Linked DNA regions of Bombyx mori. The protein of the gene in region 1 purifies or fractionates together with the protein of each later gene. This does not show direct contact. Links are inferred from orthologs where the notes say so. Each region holds a gene or a part of one and is shown on either strand. Other genes may lie near its edges. The genes, in order: syntaxin-7, BET1-like protein and gamma-soluble NSF attachment protein.

Region 1 (6,425 bases):
TCCAAAGTGAGCTTCCCTATAGCATGGTTAAGAGAGCGTGTGGGCGTCGAAGTTGAGCGACTCTAAAATTTATGACAATTAAAAAAAATCGCTTTCTTAAAATAATAATAAAAATTTAAAAAACAATGTCTTACCATGTATGTAACTAGCTTCGATTCTTGTGGAAGCCCGTTAGGCGGTGCGTATGGTAGAAATATTGATGGATCCATAATTTCAAAACTGCAGTGCGTCTGTGCAGTCTGCTGCAAAGAAGAAAAAACATAGTCAATAAATCAATAAAAGTAGCGTAGGTACCTACTTCACAGTTTTGTTCCCAACTTATGTAGGTAGTAAGCACTTTAAAATTGACCTACCTTAATTTATGATTCTTTTCGATTCACAGTTATTCATGACAATGAGAGTACCCCAACATGTCGTTATTAAGGGTTCAATTTCAACCAGACATATTTGGAAAGCTAGAATACTATATTAAATACGTGATAGAAATCAAACCCTCAAAAATCTAAAAACTACGTATTTCATTGTCTCAAAAGACGGGGCTTAAAGGCAATCTTTATTGATTCATTCACACAAAACACTGGGGCAGCAATTTTAATACAAAATTCACGGACTCTCAGAGACGGGGACACGAAGACAATAGAGACATTAAACAGGAACAGGTAAGAGATGAGTCCTAATACGTCGGTGAAGGTAGTGTGTACCAGTGTACGTACACTACAGTGAAACAGTCTTCCATAGACTAAAAAACATTACCCATGTAAAATGTAAGTCAACATTATAGAATCTAGTACAATCCGGGGTGTGTGAATTCGTTAGCATAACAATTTAATGATTTTCGACTTATTCTGATAAATTTACCCGTATTGGAATGAATCTGTTGTTTATGTGCAGTAAAAGATAAGAAACTGAAAAATACATAATAAGGTTTTTGTTAATTAAGTTGGTCTGAATCATCAATTTCTTGCATTAATTATTACAAAATATTTTAGTTTTCAAATAAAGTTTTTATGATTAAAAATACATTATCTAGGGCCGGTTTAATTAAAACATCATGCTAAGAAAAGAGTTAGTTATTTTTATATTTCACCTTGTTAGGTATTGTTAAGATTATATTTAATCTCGCCTTTTTTCTAGTTTTCTCATAATAGGTTGAAACCGTGCTACCAAGATCTAATGGTCGATTTTATAGCCGCCACTCATGATAAAAGGAGTTATAGGTTATTATTTTCATTTGAAAGTTTTCATCATTATATGTATGGTTTTATTTTTATTTTTAAAATATAGTTGATTTTAAAATTTTACTAATTAAAATATAAAAAAAATACTGTAAAACATCCATTATCCACTTTTTAGAGCATGGCATTCCAGCCTTCTAAAAGGCTTGCTTCGAACTATCTTGTGAGACGATGAGTTTAGATGGGATAAAAAATGACCCAGAAGTGGCTTAGCGGGGAAATTAATGTAATTCTAAGTCATTCACTCCATTTCATGACAAAAAGAGCATGACCCATTTACGAAGCCTTCAATAGTCTCTTACACTATATGATGTAATGGAAAAGCTTGTAAGGCCATACCAACAATGAAGCATTTTCTATCTTTAAATGCGCGATTGTATCAGAGTCTATTAACTGCTATCAGTGAGCTTTTTATTTTTTGAACTAGTCTATGGGCCAATATGTGCTGGCGACCAGCAGATTCTTAGTAAAAACGTGTCAATGTCATTCTGCAACGATTAGGGAAGATACGTGAATACGGTAGTAGTACCCTAGCCAGTTTTTTGCTGAAGATGATATATAGTGGGAAAGAGAGAGCCCTACTATCTCTATACCGATCTGATGTTACTTAAAGAGAAGGCATACATTTTGTAATAATTTTTTTTCAGTTTAAGCATTTAATAAATAATAAAATAAGTTTTCAAAAAGTTCAAGTATCCAATAGGTTCAATTAAATTGAAAACAGTAATCACGTCAGTGAGAGCTTTGGGAAAATTAAACATAATTGCATTGGGTTTTTAAAAAAATGCATTGAACTGTTTACAAATGCCCACCACGTTGTTGAGAGTTAATTAATTTAATTTTATCCAACTATTGCTCTGATGTCTTATGTCATATAATTTCAGTCCATTTAAAATTTCACATAACAGACACGCCTTCCGTCCTTTTTACAAAAAAATATCTATGGGCTCTGTTTTCTTTGCCTTTCTACAGAACAAATCAAACAAACAACAATCTGTTTTGTCAACTGTCATTTTTGATGAGTAATTTTGAGCAAGCAGTAACTGCAGTCCTATGATCAGCTCTAAACTTATCTGTAGTAAATGAGTAGCATATTCTGCGTTTGATTGTTTTCTATCATAGCTCTGTAGTGTATGGGAAGAAGAATACAAACCATTATTTTAATTAACATAAAACTATACATACTCACCATCTCTTTCAATTTATAGTGGGTAGGTACATGATTAATAACACTATATTTTCACGTTTACTTTCATTGTATATCGATTATTTATTGTTTATTTCGTAGTGAAAATGGAGGCGTCTTATCAAGGAGGTGTGTCATACGATGAGAATGGAGATAACTTTCAACGACTTTCTCAAACTATCGCCAGTAATATTAAGAAAATATCCCAAAATGGTAAGTGTTATTTTGAATGCTGAAATGTGAGATTAACGTATGTGAATCTAAGCCTAATATTAGAGAGATACAAAATTACTAGGAAAAATCAAATCAATTAGAAATTTTACTGATTAGAATCGTTCTTACTAAAGTTTTTCTAACATGTGTTTCAATATTTAATGTTTTAAGTTCTAAGTTAGACTACAAAACCCATAGATAGCACTGAGAATGCTGCCACCTTCAGGCTCCTGGAGTCTCAAGTGTTTTGAATAATGTTGGCTGTCTCACCATTCACTCTGGAACTTGAGACTACTTTGAGGCTAAAAGAGACAGGATCTTTCTATCATGCTTTTTTTCTAAAATGTTGAATTCGCTCATCGCCAAGTGATCTCCTTGCTATCATTATATGCCCCACTCTTACTTTATTATACCAATTTTATTTGAGCTGTCAATATTCATCTGAAATAATAATAATAATAAGGATTAACTTTGTACAACTGACGACCGCCAGTCTGGCGTAGGATCTTTCTATCATGCTTTTTTTCTAAAATGTTGAATTCGCTCATCGCCAAGTGATCTCCTTGCTATCATTATATGCCCCACTCTTACTTTATTATACCAATTTTATTTGAGCTGTCAATATTCATCTGTAATAATAATAATAATAAGGATTAACTTTGTACAACTGACGACCGCCAGTCTGGCGTCCCGAGGGGGAGGGTGATGGGAGAGATGTGCTCCGCACTAAACGCTTCACTTTCCCCCCTTTGCCTTGTCATGAGTTCTGTCTCATGCGAGGTTTGGACATTGGTTGTTGAGCGACAGGAGGTTTTAGTCAGTTCGACTCTGACATACCCTGCTCAGTATCCCCAGAAAATGGTGGAAGTCTGGTGATTTCCTGCTGACCAAAAAAAAAAAATGTTTTGTTTAGATTTATTGACTAAATGGTGTCTTAAAATTATTTAACTTGAATAATGCATATACAGTCAAAACCGTTTACTGCGACATCGTTTAATACGACATGCCAGTTATAATAACCAAGAACAAAGGTCCCGGCTGAATGCCATATGACCGCCTTATTAAAAATATTGCTTTCTACGACATTGCTTATAACGACATACCTCATAAAACGACCACATTTAACTAATATTTCGGAGAATTAGATCTGTTAGAACGACCGACTAAGCTGTATTGTAAACAATTTGAATAGGTATCCACATTTGTCTTCAATGGCTATTAAAATCAGGAAAGAAAACAATAGGATTTAGTTTAGTGTAGGGTCTTTTCTAATTCTTAGAAACAAAACACGTGCATGCAGTAGAGTCAAAGCCCGCTTCTTCATATCGCTTCAGTTAGTTTGTTACTTATCTATACACAAGACGCACCAAAACTTTGTGGAGTTATTCGTGAAACTTTCAAAATGTCGCAAAGAAAAAGAAAACAAATTAATATTGAAGAAAAATCGCGTATTATGTAAATATATTTTTCCAATAATTCCCTATCGATTTGTTTGTACTTTCACGATACACATTATATACATCACCGGTTGTTACGACTATCGGTTTTTACGACTTAATATGAGCAGTCCCTTCGATGTCGTTATAACAGATTTTGACTGTAGTTGCTATTTGTAAGTAAACAAATATAAATATTAAGAAAAAAGTTTTATGAAGTTAGATAAAATATATTAAAATTAGGATAATGTTTGTCCTTAAACATATGCAAAGAAAAAATCAGTCTACATCAAAAGTAAAGTATGCTTTATTGTACACCAATATCTGAACTTTTACTACATACATAATTGTTATGTATGTAGCTATATGTAATAATAAAAATAAAATAACACATGCACATGTGTACCAATCATATAAAATAAATAAAGATACAAAACGTTAAACAAAAGAACAGTGGTGAAATCACAAAGAGAGGCCTCTTGAAAATAGCCAATATGTGAGCAAGAATTTTTGAATGAAAGGAATTTACTGAGGTGTACTTATCAAATAAAAAAGAAAAACAGAATAGTATTTTAGTATTTACAAAATTCATCATTAAAAATGCATTTTGATAGTTATGTTTATACCAAAGCATTTGAAGTCTTATGTTAGAGCACAGCATATGCCAGTTTGATTTGAACAATTCTTTATGCATTTTTTTTTCTACCTATGCTGATAGCCTTGAGAGGCTATTTCAGCTTCACCCTAACGTTTGTAGGTGAGCTCGCGGGGCTCAACCGGAGAGTTGCTAACACTGACCCTAGCAAGAGCAGTGCTTCGCAGAATCTACCACCGGATCGGAAACGCGACCCACTGAGAAGATCCAGCGAGAAACTCAGTGGGCTGTGTCTATGGGTTTTTTGCATTTTGTCATTCAGTTATTTATGAAGAATCTTAAATAATTAATAACTAACATAAGTACTTTTAATAAATTTCAATATATAAAATAATAAAGCCTTTTGTTCAGACAACAGATTTACAATTATCTTTCTTATACTACTGCACTTTTATGTATTTAACACAATTAAAATTATTCACATATTTGGTGCTTCTTTACTTTCTGTAAATCCATAGGCTGTTGGCAAAGGCCTCCTCCAACCTACTTTATACTGATCTCTTTTGATCTTGTGTAATTGTTTTAAAAATTTTGCAATTGTTTTCTTATGTGGTTGGAGGATTGTGCTCCTTTTCTCCTGCAAGGACTTGTGGCTTGCAGGAAATTGTGTTATTTCTTTTGTTTGGTTTTCATAATTTGGTTGGATTATCCGTTTGGCGGCTGTTATTGGTTTTTATGTGTGAGGATATGAGTGGGAGGGTTTGATCGGATTCTCATCAAATCGAAGGCGTTTGTCCTGTGTGTTGTGGTAGCAAAGGCTTTCTCTTTTATGTAACTTCCTAAGCTACCAATATATAGATTCATTTTAAGCTCTGTATATTTAGTTTACTTCCATAAATAAATTAAGGTCTCTTTTAAAGTACTCTTTAACAGTTTGAAATAGTTCTAACATGGATTTTTCGAAATTGTTAATATGAATTATGGCAATGACTTTGGGAAATTACTCTTTTAATACTCATGTACATAATATAATATATAATATAATATAACTACTTTAGTTGTAGACGTAGTAGTAAAGAACTAGAAACAATATTACAGTGGTCTCCACAAATAAACAAAACCCATAAAAACTTGCTAGAATGTGCTATTTTGCAATGTGAAATTTAATTAACAATAAATTGGCTTTAGAATAACATTACAAATTAAATTTTATTTATATTTTAATCCTAAGAAGTATATCGTATTTCACAATTCTTAATTTAGTAGTATATATAATATACGTATACATACATTAGAAAATGAAATAAATTGATTGTATAAGGAAAAAGCAAATGAGAAAAATAGCTAAAACTTTTCACTTACTACCTATATAATTACTGTTGTACATTTTCCTTGTACATAAATCATGTTTTTATGTAGTTGAACTTCATTAGTGCTTATCAGGACTGTTAATATGATGGCTCTGTTAATTGAAATGATTATAATAATGATAAGAAACATTAAAATTTAAAATTAAAATTTGCTAAGCTTTAAGTTTTTCAGTAATTTTCAAAACTAAAAATGTTCCCTGAAATCTGAACTATTATTTTATATAATACTAGCGACCCGCCCTCGCTTCGCTTCGGAAACATTAAAACACACATGAAACCTAAAAAAAAAAAAAAAATTAAAAAAGTAGCCTATGTTCATCAGGGACAATGTCGGCTTCTAATGGAAAAATAATTTTTCAAATCGGTCCAGTAGTTTCGGAGCCTATTCGA
Region 2 (4,816 bases), on another chromosome or scaffold:
CGGGTTCGCGCGCTTTGATGTCTGTTAAAAAACCGACACAGCTTGGAAAATCACGAATGCAGCGAAAACTTTGCATAATCATTCGCAAATGTCGTCCTACACCTGCGGGTTTGCGTATTCGTGCGCATGTGAGTGACCGGTGTAATACTAACGGCTCAGTGACTTTTTTGGCGGGAACGCGAGGAGTGAAGTTGTGTGATTTGTTTTTATTTTGTCTATTTAGTGTTTCGCCAGCTTTAAATGTGTAATAACGGTGGTTTATTAACTGTTTAATATCTGTGAAAGTGCACAAATGTGGGAAAATGAAACAAAGCCGCTGGACGTAACTTCTCGGGATCCCCCAAAAAGTCCACTGAGACAGTCTTAGTAAATAACCATCATTTTACTGAGATTATATTTCATCCATATCATCTCGTTCGTCTCATCTCATTTCATTTCATTTTATGCCATGTTTAATAATATTAATCAACTTCATTACATTTCACTTCATATTATCATGTGCAGAGTTAATTACTACATTAATCAAATTACTTTCTCAACATCAATTATCTATACCGTACCACGCTGCTAATTTCATTCAAACTTACACTAATATTAATAATGGTTAACACGGACAGTTTCCTTCGTTTTTTATTATTCATAAACTGTAAATAATTAAAACGGCGAATTATAAAAATATTATTATTTGACACTGGCTAATACACAAAACGTGCCAGAACCAAAAAAAAACTAATAAATTAATGTGTGAACTAAATAGAAAGAGATGTGAGATACATAATACATATTACTTAGTGAGAAAAGATGACCTAAGTATTTGAAATAGGCACTAAAATTTATAAATAAACATAAATGAAAATACTTTTTACTTGCTTATTTCTTGTTATTTTTGCCAAATTTTTAGATAGCGCATTTTGATGTTTATATTAGCTACTTCAGAAATTGAATGTATTTGCTATGGAAGGTAACAAAATACAATTCTACTTTGAAGAAACAAGTTTAAACAGAATAAATCTTTTTAAAGAAGCTTTATCCAGTGCAGAAAACGGAAGAGTTCTTTATATTCTCCATGAAGAATTAAGTCAGCTACCCACATTATCACAAGATTTAAATTCAGTGAATAGACATTTCATGAAAATGATTAGTTTTCTTTATGTAGAAACTATTGAAGCACTTATAGACAGTGTTTCAACACTACCAGATTGGCAGAATGTGCCCTCAACAATTATTTTAGATGACTTAAGCAAGTTCTTCAGTAGAAACAACCAACAAAACATTTATGGGATTATTGCTCTGTTGATGGACAGTGTACGGATCTGTTCTGTTTCACTCGGAAAGCCATGTAATTTATTTGTTGCTGTAAGTAAAGAAGTTGTAGGCGATGATTTTTGTAAAATCTTAAAAGAATTATACTTTTGATTGAAGTTTAAAAACTAGTTAGCATAATTATTATAGGGAATACTTACTAATGATCACATATGAGCATCATTTTAAGTATTATACTTATTTGTTGCATAAGTAGGTGAGTGAGTTAAGTGGATACCTAAGCCTATAGATAACAATCAAAACTTAAATACCGCTGACTATCTTTAGAGCTAAGGTTAAAGGCTCAATTGTATTTTATTATGGCTGTCCTTCAAACAACATATGGTTACTTAGTGAAGGAAAAAATTAAATGTTGACACCTACCTGTGCAAGCTAGTACTTATCATTGAAACATATTGTAAAAGTTGTGGAATAAGTGAAATAAAATAAACATTTAATTTATACATATGTTTTATTTACATTTCAACATATACAAAATTTATTTCGAAACACTTATAATACACAGGAGTGATGGATGGGTAATGAAAATCATCTAAATTTTAAAATAATATACAACAAAAAGAACACAAAAATGGAGAAGAGGAATAGATAGAAAATATAATAGTTGTGGTTCCCTTTGCCAAGCCTTAAAACTCTTCCCATGGTTTTTCCAAGGAAACCTGAGCTTCTGTCAACATCATCATCTAATCCACGCAAAAGTTTTTCTTGGTCCCTTACTTCATTGCCTAACTCAATGGAAATGTATTTAAGTGAAGATATCTTGCCACTGAGTTCTTCAGCCATTCGTTCATTTTCATTTTCGATAGTATCTTCCGTAGCTACTCTGGGCACTGGCTGATAGTGGTAGCCTTCGCGGGCTCGCCTCATATTCGTTCGGCCCGCCGTTTTGATTAGCAGCAAGACACAAGAGTGATGATGATAATCAGGTCTTGGTTAATTACGTCCTTCGTTAGACGTTTATTTAATTTTGGATCTACTTGCCGCCTATTTACTATAAAATATTGTTTGTTTTTGTCAATTTGTAATAGGATATGAAAAAAAAACACTAATTTAATAATCTGGACACATTGAAAACATACATGGTTTACAGTAAGTATATAATTTGCTTTTATGTAGTTGTGTTAGATGTGATAGTCTCCTACGTGTTTATCTGACTCAAATGTCAACTGTCAATAGTAGTAGTAGCTCCATTTATCCAACTGAAAAGACGAAGGTCTCCTAATATTATGCATATTTCGTTTTATGACAAATTTAATGGACCGCATTGAAATAATGTTGATTAATTTGAAATTTTAATCATTTGAGATGAAATTAAATGAAACTTGATAATGCGGGTCTCAGTAAATGGTGTTTATTTACTTAAACTTTCTCAGTGAACGTTTTGAAAGAACTCGAGAAGCTACGTCCAGTGGCTTTGTTTTATTTTCCCACAATGTGCACTTACACAGATACTAAACAGTTAATAAAGCACCGCTATTATAAATTAACAAAATAGAACAATTCACACAACTTCGCTCCTCGCGTTCCCGTCAGAGTTCGACGTGCGAACTAGCTCATAGACACAACTCACTGGGTTTCTCACCGGGTCTTTTCAGTGGTTTACAATTCCGATCCGGTGGTAGATTCTGCGAAACACTACTATTGCTAGGGCCAGTGCTAGCAAACTCTCAGATTGAATGACCTCACCTACCAGTCGGTGATTAGCTGGAATAGACCCTTAGGGCTACCAGCGATTAGGTAGAGAAAAAAGTCTTCAACGCTCATCTTTCAGTCTACCAGTCACATAGTAGAACTGAAATCCTACGAGCTGATGAAGGAAAATACTTAGGGCTATCCCGCAATAGGCGAAACACAGAGAATTCTGTGTTACAGTACCGTGACACGTAACTAACGATGAGCACGACCACAAAATTAAGGAACAAGTGGAAGCATATATAAAAACAAAATATTGCAATTCCTAATACTCACGAGACAATCAGCTTCAGAACTAAAAAATAAATAAATAAACCTACTAATATTGATTTTTTTTATTGCTTAGATGGGTGGACGAGCTCACAGCCCACCTGGTCTTGTGGTTACTGGAGTCCATAGACATCTACAACGTAAATGCACCATCCACCTTGGTTTCACTGCAAAAATAGGCAGGGTGGTGGTACCTACCCGTGCGGACTGGACACATACTGCCCAATTTCCCAAATTAATCGTGGGTTTTCACAATTATTATAGATAAATTAAAAAAATTATATTTAGAAAGTAGATTATGCAGATAAATATTTCTTGTTTACATCGCAACGTTGAGGCACTTTGATTTAAAAAATGTCGTGATTCGTACTTTATTTAAATTACAATTTTCAACGTTGATAATAATATCAGAAGGCCCTTTAAAAAAAAAACATGGAAACTGGTTTTTCGAACAGTTTAATTAAGCATTGGCGCACTCATATCGCATGAAAAGTTTTTAATCTGTTCAATCAAGAAAATGTATTTCCGAAAATGCTTTCAAAGTAATTAAACGATAATTCAACCTGCAAACTTTTTCTTATCCCTTTTAAGCCGCCGTTAATTAGCTATTCCCGGGCCCTACAACGTCTTTTTAACATTTTCTTTTGATTTTGCACGCGCATGAACTTCATGCTTTTTCGACTTGGTGCTCGACTTCCCATCTGCCGCTCAGAATTCGTGCGCTTGGAAGTTGGAACGGGTTTACATAATATACCTTCTCTTGTGAACTTTTAATAAGTCGCTGAACGCAGAACGCAAAATAATTAATAATTTAATAAAACATGCTACATACATACTCAATTATTTTATTTTTCAATAATTATTATTGTACAAAGTTTTAACAGTCAGTAACTATCGAAGAATAAAGCTTTCTTATTACTACTTACATAAAAATTTAATGTGCCTCGAGGGGAATGTATTGCACATAGCAGTTGATTTCAGAACATAATATAGAAAAACTGATTGAACAAAAATTATAAATCTACATATACATAAGATTGTTGTTAATATTTTCTACTGAATTAAGTATCTAATTAATTTCAGTTTGTTTTTATTCACGCAGATATAAAATTAAAAAAAAACATTATTCAATGAATGCCTAGCTTTTTGCTGCTAAATAATAGTAGTCATATAATCCTTGAAACAAACTCAAATGATGACAGTAGCATATGAATAATATTATGTGATGAGTAGTCCATCAAGAATATGTATAATTAAATAAGATAGGCGATTAGCATTTAGAATATGTTAGAGAACCATCCCAGCTTCGCTGCAAAGTACTTATTATGTCGTAAACTATCATTCTGAGGGAGAAAAATCAAAACAGTTTGACGATCGACTACCACGTACCTAATCGTTACCACTGCGACTAACGCATCAGCTTTAGAGCCGGTATTCCTAAAACATACTTGGAGGAAGGTAGTTTAGGCAAGAAGACGAACATATTTAAAAAGTCAATCTACCCTCTGTATATGAAAACTAGATAAGTCTG
Region 3 (6,303 bases), about 4.4 Mb from region 1:
TCGAGATGATACCGGCATCTCGTTTTTACCATCGCACCGCCCGCCATCGGAGTAGAGTTCATCCGTACTACCTGGAGCCACTGCGGTCATCCACAGTGCGTTTCCAGAGATCTTTTTTGCCACGTACCATCCGGCTATGGAATGAGCTCCCCTCCACGGTGTTTCCCGAGCGCTATGACATGTCCTTCTTCAAACGAGGCTTGTGGAGAGTATTAAGCGGTAGGCAGCGGCTTGGCTCTGCCCCTGGCATTGCTGAAGTCCATGGGCAACGGTAACCACTCACCATCAGGTGGGCCGTATGCTCGTCTGCCTACAAGGGCAATAAAAAAAAAAAAAAAAAAAAAAAAAAAAAAAAAAAAAAAAAAAAAAAAAAAAAAAAAAAAGATCGATTTATTATATAAATGGGTGAATCACTACATAGTATAAAACAAAGTCGCTTTCTCTGTCCCTATATCTGTCTGTCCCTATGTATGCTTAAATCTTTAAAACTACGCAACAGATTTTGATGCGGTTTTTTTAATAGATAGAGTGATTGAAGAAGAAGGTTTATATGTATAATAACATCCATTAAATAGTGGAGAAATCAATAATAAATTACAGTTTCCGAAGCGAAGCGTGGGTGGTTCGCTAGTTTATTATAATCCGATGAGACTTTTTGGCGGGAACACGAGGAGTGAAGTTGTGTGATTTGTTTTATGTTATCTATTTAGCGTTTCTTCATGTTTAAATGCGTAATAACGGTAGTTTATTAACTGTTTAGTATATGTGAAAGTGCAAAAATGTGGGGAAATGAAACAAAGCTGCTGGACGTAACTTCTCGTGATCCTTCAAAAAGCCTACTGAAAAAGTCTCAATAGATAACCACCATTTTACTGAGATTATATTTCATCCCATATCATCTCATCTCATTTCATTTAATTTCGTCTCAGTTGATTAACGTATTAAAATAATTATCTTCAATTAATTTCATTTCACTCCATATTATCATTTTTCATAAAAATAAGAATATAAATTAAAATAAGACTAAAGATCTAATAAGACTAGATCTAAAGGTCTTAGTTACCAGGTCATAATATCGCTTTAAAAAATATATATAATCCGATGGTGACACTCGAAATATTGATTAATTGTTTTACAGGAACATCATCGTGCCTACGACGAGGAGAATGAGGAATCTCCGTATGAGCCCGTCACTTACGGCCCCAAGAAGATCGAGGAAGAGGACGAAGACGAGGAGCTCTGCTAAATCAATTCGTAATAAACCCGTTTCCTTAACATCCGCTTCCCGAATACACACCTTAGACCACACACATAGCCCAGAGACTTTTAGGCGAAGAAGGCGTTAATGAATTCGAGTGGTGCTTCTTCCTTTGAGAAATTTATCGGAGGAGGAACTTAGTGATGGATTATGAGCTGTAACTGTAATTTATTGACGACACACAAACAAGACACAAGTTTATTTTTTTTCGTTACATGTCGAGTCAGCAATGTATAGCGCAGAAACCGCTAAGAGTCAATAGTCGCACGAGTTGCGTGATTTTAAATTTTTGTGTTGCCATTACATTGATGGATTTGAATCCAAACGTGACGTTGTATGATTATTGTTTAATCTCATACGATTTCTTTCTGTGATACATGAATTACCTTATTTTATTTCGTTTAATTAAAACACGCGCCGTAATTTGAATATTTTTTACGTTTGCCATCGAAAACACTACCGTCACACAATCGTACCATATCGTCTGATATGATGTGTTCCAACCTCTTATCTATCTTGCGTATTCTGTAAATTCGTAATGTTAAAGCGAAACGGGTTAATATACTAGTTACATTCCTCAGCTTAAGTAATTACGCCCATAGCGATTGAAACCTTCACTTTGAATGTATTCCGTAATCAAATATTATTAGATATTAGTATAAGGGGATAACGCCGTACATAATTGTATTACCGTAACGAAATCTAGCAACGCGTCATTGTCTCATATCGGATGACGTCATTAATCTTGTGATTGTGTTGTTTAGTGCAATATGCTATTGATCCGGCGGTTCCCGAACATATGTTATCATTAATCTTTAACTTAACATTTAATCATGTAAGTGTATGTATAAAAGATGCATCCTTTTGTTTAATTGTTTTGATAGTTAATTAATGTATAATACTTTTCATTTACGATTCTTTGTATGCTCAGTTTTTGTATATTAATTATATTTATGTACTTTTTTTTAAATAATTAAGTATGTTGTTAAGTTTTAATCGGTAATAGAATCTTAAATAGAACGACACTGTCCTAAATTCAGCCAGGCTAAGCGCATTTATACGAATCGTTAATCGAACTATTATTCAGTTGTGGTCTATGGATTTCCATTGACCATTCAACATCTCGAGATTAATGCGACAAATATTAAATACAACACCGTCCGTTCAATTAAGACCATCATCGACAACTAGTAAGTCGATTATTCGATCGTATGCATATGTTAAGCCCGAGCGTAACAACAGCAACAATAGTGAATTTGTTGGCATAACTTTAAAAAAAAAACTACTGCTGTAGCGTTGACAATAAAGAAACGTCAAACTTCAACTGCCTATTTAGAACTAAGAACAAGTCTGAAAACACGCACAAAAAGCGTAGGTATCGCTTGACGTGGCAAAAGGATATAATGTTTTGTCTTTTGTATTTGGCGTTTCAGCCGCTGCCTTTGAAACAGTAAGACTCGATAAAAAACTTAAATAGCAAGTATCGTAATCGTTTGAGCGTAGTAAGATTTCGTTCGTATGTATTTGATACTTTAGCCGCGGCTAACGTTTACAGCTTAAGTTTAATGAAACGATTGCTGGATTTACAAATGGAAGATTATTGTGCATTTTACGATACCGTAAAATGGGGCGATTAGGGACAAATTCCAACTTTATGAGCAATTTTAAGGTAGTTGTTGATGTATATAATGCTATATCAGGATCAAAATGGTTGAGTCTTGGGGGCATCTTTGTTGTCTAATTTAAAATTATGCAACTAGCATTCCAGTTTAAGCAAAAAATGCAAAAATAGGTGTAATCCCTATTTACCCGAAAATTGCGGTTAATTGGGACGAAATGAGAAATTTGCTAGGGTTGGCACTACTTTTATTTTTATATATAGTTTTAATTTATTTATTTATTTAGTTGCACCAACAAAGTGATCATCAATAAAAAAAATTGAAAACTGACAAAAGTACATGGCAGACATCACCTCAATTATAGGTGCAATCGACAGTGCATTAACAACAACAAAAAAATATATATATACATATATATTTATTTATACATATATAGTGGGCTTTCTTAGAAACGGTTTATATTTCTCCGTTCTTGGTAAGTACTTAAGGGCTGATATTTCTATCTGGGTTCAGAGATTAGGTGTGTCGGTTATTCCATGGATTAATCAGATGAATACTCCCACTCTGAACAAATATTAAATATTTTATTATGTATTACTTAGACATTTTGGTCCACCTTGAGATTTCATTGATCTTGTTACATGTCTCTGCAAAATCGACTTACTTATATTAAATTGCTTATCTATTTCAACTAAAGACTTATTCCCAATTTCGCTTCGAATAAACCAGATTTTTACCAACAAATTTAAATAATATTTTTATAACTACATAGACAACCCTACAAACCTGTACCTATTTATACTTAGGTCGTTTCCATTTCACGTATTCTCATCCCAATTGACCCCTTTTTCGTTGTTATTTATACCTAAAGCGTCCCCAATATCCCCAAAAACAACAGATTTTTACATGTATTTTTATTTGATCAAATACATTAAAACCAATAACAACTGAGACTTACCTTTAATATATATGCTGGTTCAAACACTAAATAACGTTTATAAATCATAGTCGTCTTCTATTATTATCAAATAAATAAAAGAGAGCAAAGTTTCTAGCACTAAAATAATTACCACCACAGGAAGTTAATTTGAAACGCGATTTTTTATAAGTTAGCAGCTATTATCATGCATATTCAGATTTGTTTTGTGAACTTTCAACATTCTACTATTAAACTACAAAAAACGGAAGATTTTGCAACGAATATAAAACTTATATTGAGCGTCGAAAAATTTTCCCGGTTTTTTCCCGATTCGCCTCTCAATCCCTAATCGCCCCATTTTACCGGTACTAGAATCTTTTTCTTATTCTTATCTATAAATTATTTGAGTGGCTATAAAACTTTTAAAATCCGAGTATGGCTATTAGGGCTATATAATCACATTTCAGCAACGACTAACTTCAGATTGTTCTATGCAAATGCACAATAATCGACGGACACATATTTAAGACTCTATTCGTGTAATTTAATATGAAATGCATCATTAATATAATATGAAACAATGTAATATTAACCACGCATCAGTGGGATATCTATAGTTCAAGTTCAATTTGCCGCGTTCAGTAAGTGCAGGCGTCAGTTTTAATGATGTATGAGTAAAGTGGAGAGCCCACTATATGTTCACTTTTATTAGTAATAAATGTAATCAATAGACCAGCGTTATTATTAAAACCTATCTTGTCGTTTATACCACTCCCATCACCTATCCTAAGTGGTCACACAGTATAATCTGAATTGAATTAAGATTTACGACCACCGCCCAGATGACCACCATACGACACAGCCCACTGAGTTTCTCGCCGGATCTTCTCAGTGGGTCGCGTTTCCGATCCGGTGGTAGATTCTGCAAAGCACGGCTCTTGCTAGGGCCAGTGTTAGCAACACCTCCTGGTTTGAGCCCCGAGAGCTCACCTACACCCTAGGGTTACGCAGACATAGCCTCTCAAGGTGGTACGGTAGAAAAAAAAAGAACCGGATGACGTCAATCTGCTTAAGAACATTTGTCAGCGAATTGCCAAATCATGTATAAGGTATGCCTTATTGAATGAAAACTCTGATTCCTAAGGTTCCTGATTCTAAAGGATTCCTAAGGATTCCTTTGAAACAAAAATTCCAAATCCAATTACATTTGCGAAGCCGACTTAACCTAATAGGTGCATGGCTCTAATAAACAAACAAAAAAAAAAAACATTTGTGCGGACTCTATCAAACGGAGTCGAAATATGAGGATCTATTACACAAATCTCACCAGTCTCACTCTTTCGGATAATAAAGATAAGTAAAGTAGAGGCATCACTTTATTCGAAGCGGAGATATGCAAGTCCCATAAAGCTTGATACGGTTATTAGGTAATTTGTCTTACTTGCAGTAACAATGATGGTTGAAGCTAACCTATTTAATGAAGTCAATTTGACCAAACTGTAGTATATTAATAATAAAAAATTAGGATTCCCTGTGTTATTGGTACCGGAGACTGCCATACTTACTGCAGCGCCCCTAGCGGCAAACGTAGGCAAACCTTCCAACTCCGTACATATTTTTTTCTCGGGCCGGGGGCCGAACCTTTTTTTTATTTATTGCTTAGATGGATGGACGAGCTCACAGTCCACCTGGTATTAAGTGGTTACTGGAGCCCATGAACATCTACAACGTAAATGCGCCACCCACCTCGAGATATAAGAAAACCTCATACGAGGTACCCACCCGCGTATGTTCGGCGACGACAGCGACGACTCCATATAAACTTGAGTAAACTTTTACGCTATCGAGAGCGTTAAAAATCTCGCACTAAGCACACTAATGTGTGTACCAAACCCACGACCCTCGGCGCAACAAACAGGGCCGCTAACTACTTCACCACCGAGATACTCTCGTGGAATTAATTACCTTTGCTTCATTGCTTGCATTGTTTTTTGAATGTAAGTTGTGTTTTGGTGTGCAATAAAGTGTATTCTCTGTCTCTCTCTCTCTTAGACGGGCGTACGAGCTAATTACTATGGAGATAGAACGTTAAAAAAACGTGTTCCATACTTACTCAATAGTTTACCCGAGGACATAAGACGTGAGCCTATACTTGCTAAATTTAAATAAAAAAACATTTGTTAAATACGTTGTAACCATTTACGTAAATTAATTGTGTTATTAAAGTATAAGCTAGTTGAATGGTTTATACGCTATGTTTGTATAAAGCGAGTTACCTGCAGTTAAACTGCGTAAGCAGTTTTGCGGGGAATGTTTTGAATGTAAGTGTAACTTTTTATGAATAAATATATTACATACATAACGGCCCCCGCGGTATAGTTACTGGAGTCCGTAGACATCAACAGCCTAAATGCTAATACCCACTTGAAACACGACTTCTAAGTATCGGTATTACAGTATCGTAGCAGTTTTACAATATATAATTATAGAATCGTCACCTAAGGGTT

The links.
Region 2: the proteins of syntaxin-7 (region 1) and BET1-like protein purify together in Homo sapiens (affinity purification with mass spectrometry; 3 studies listed by BioGRID and IntAct, with this or other methods). This does not show direct contact. The link is inferred for Bombyx mori from reciprocal best matches to the Homo sapiens genes STX7 and BET1.
Region 3: the proteins of syntaxin-7 (region 1) and gamma-soluble NSF attachment protein purify together in Homo sapiens (affinity purification with mass spectrometry; 3 studies listed by BioGRID and IntAct, counting the BioPlex papers as one, with this or other methods). This does not show direct contact. The link is inferred for Bombyx mori from reciprocal best matches to the Homo sapiens genes STX7 and NAPG.

Annotation. Positions count from the first base shown.
Region 1 is NC_085107.1:5,738,242-5,744,666, forward strand, and holds the start of syntaxin-7, read left to right. Parts: upstream 1-2,245; 5' UTR 2,246-2,446; intron 2,447-2,523; 5' UTR 2,524-2,528; coding exon 2,529-2,634; intron 2,635-6,425. Other genes in the region: PAN2-PAN3 deadenylation complex subunit PAN3, read right to left, coding at 1-62, 135-209. UniProt on the Homo sapiens protein: May be involved in protein trafficking from the plasma membrane to the early endosome (EE) as well as in homotypic fusion of endocytic organelles. Mediates the endocytic trafficking from early endosomes to late endosomes and lysosomes.
Region 2 is NC_085114.1:8,352,041-8,356,856, reverse strand, and holds BET1-like protein, read right to left. Parts: upstream 2,474-4,816; 5' UTR 2,191-2,473; coding exon 1,852-2,190; 3' UTR 1,759-1,851; downstream 1-1,758. UniProt on the Homo sapiens protein: Required for vesicular transport from the ER to the Golgi complex. Functions as a SNARE involved in the docking process of ER-derived vesicles with the cis-Golgi membrane.
Region 3 is NC_085107.1:1,351,681-1,357,983, reverse strand, and holds the end of gamma-soluble NSF attachment protein, read left to right. Parts: intron 1-1,138; coding exon 1,139-1,246; 3' UTR 1,247-4,526; downstream 4,527-6,303. UniProt on the Homo sapiens protein: Required for vesicular transport between the endoplasmic reticulum and the Golgi apparatus.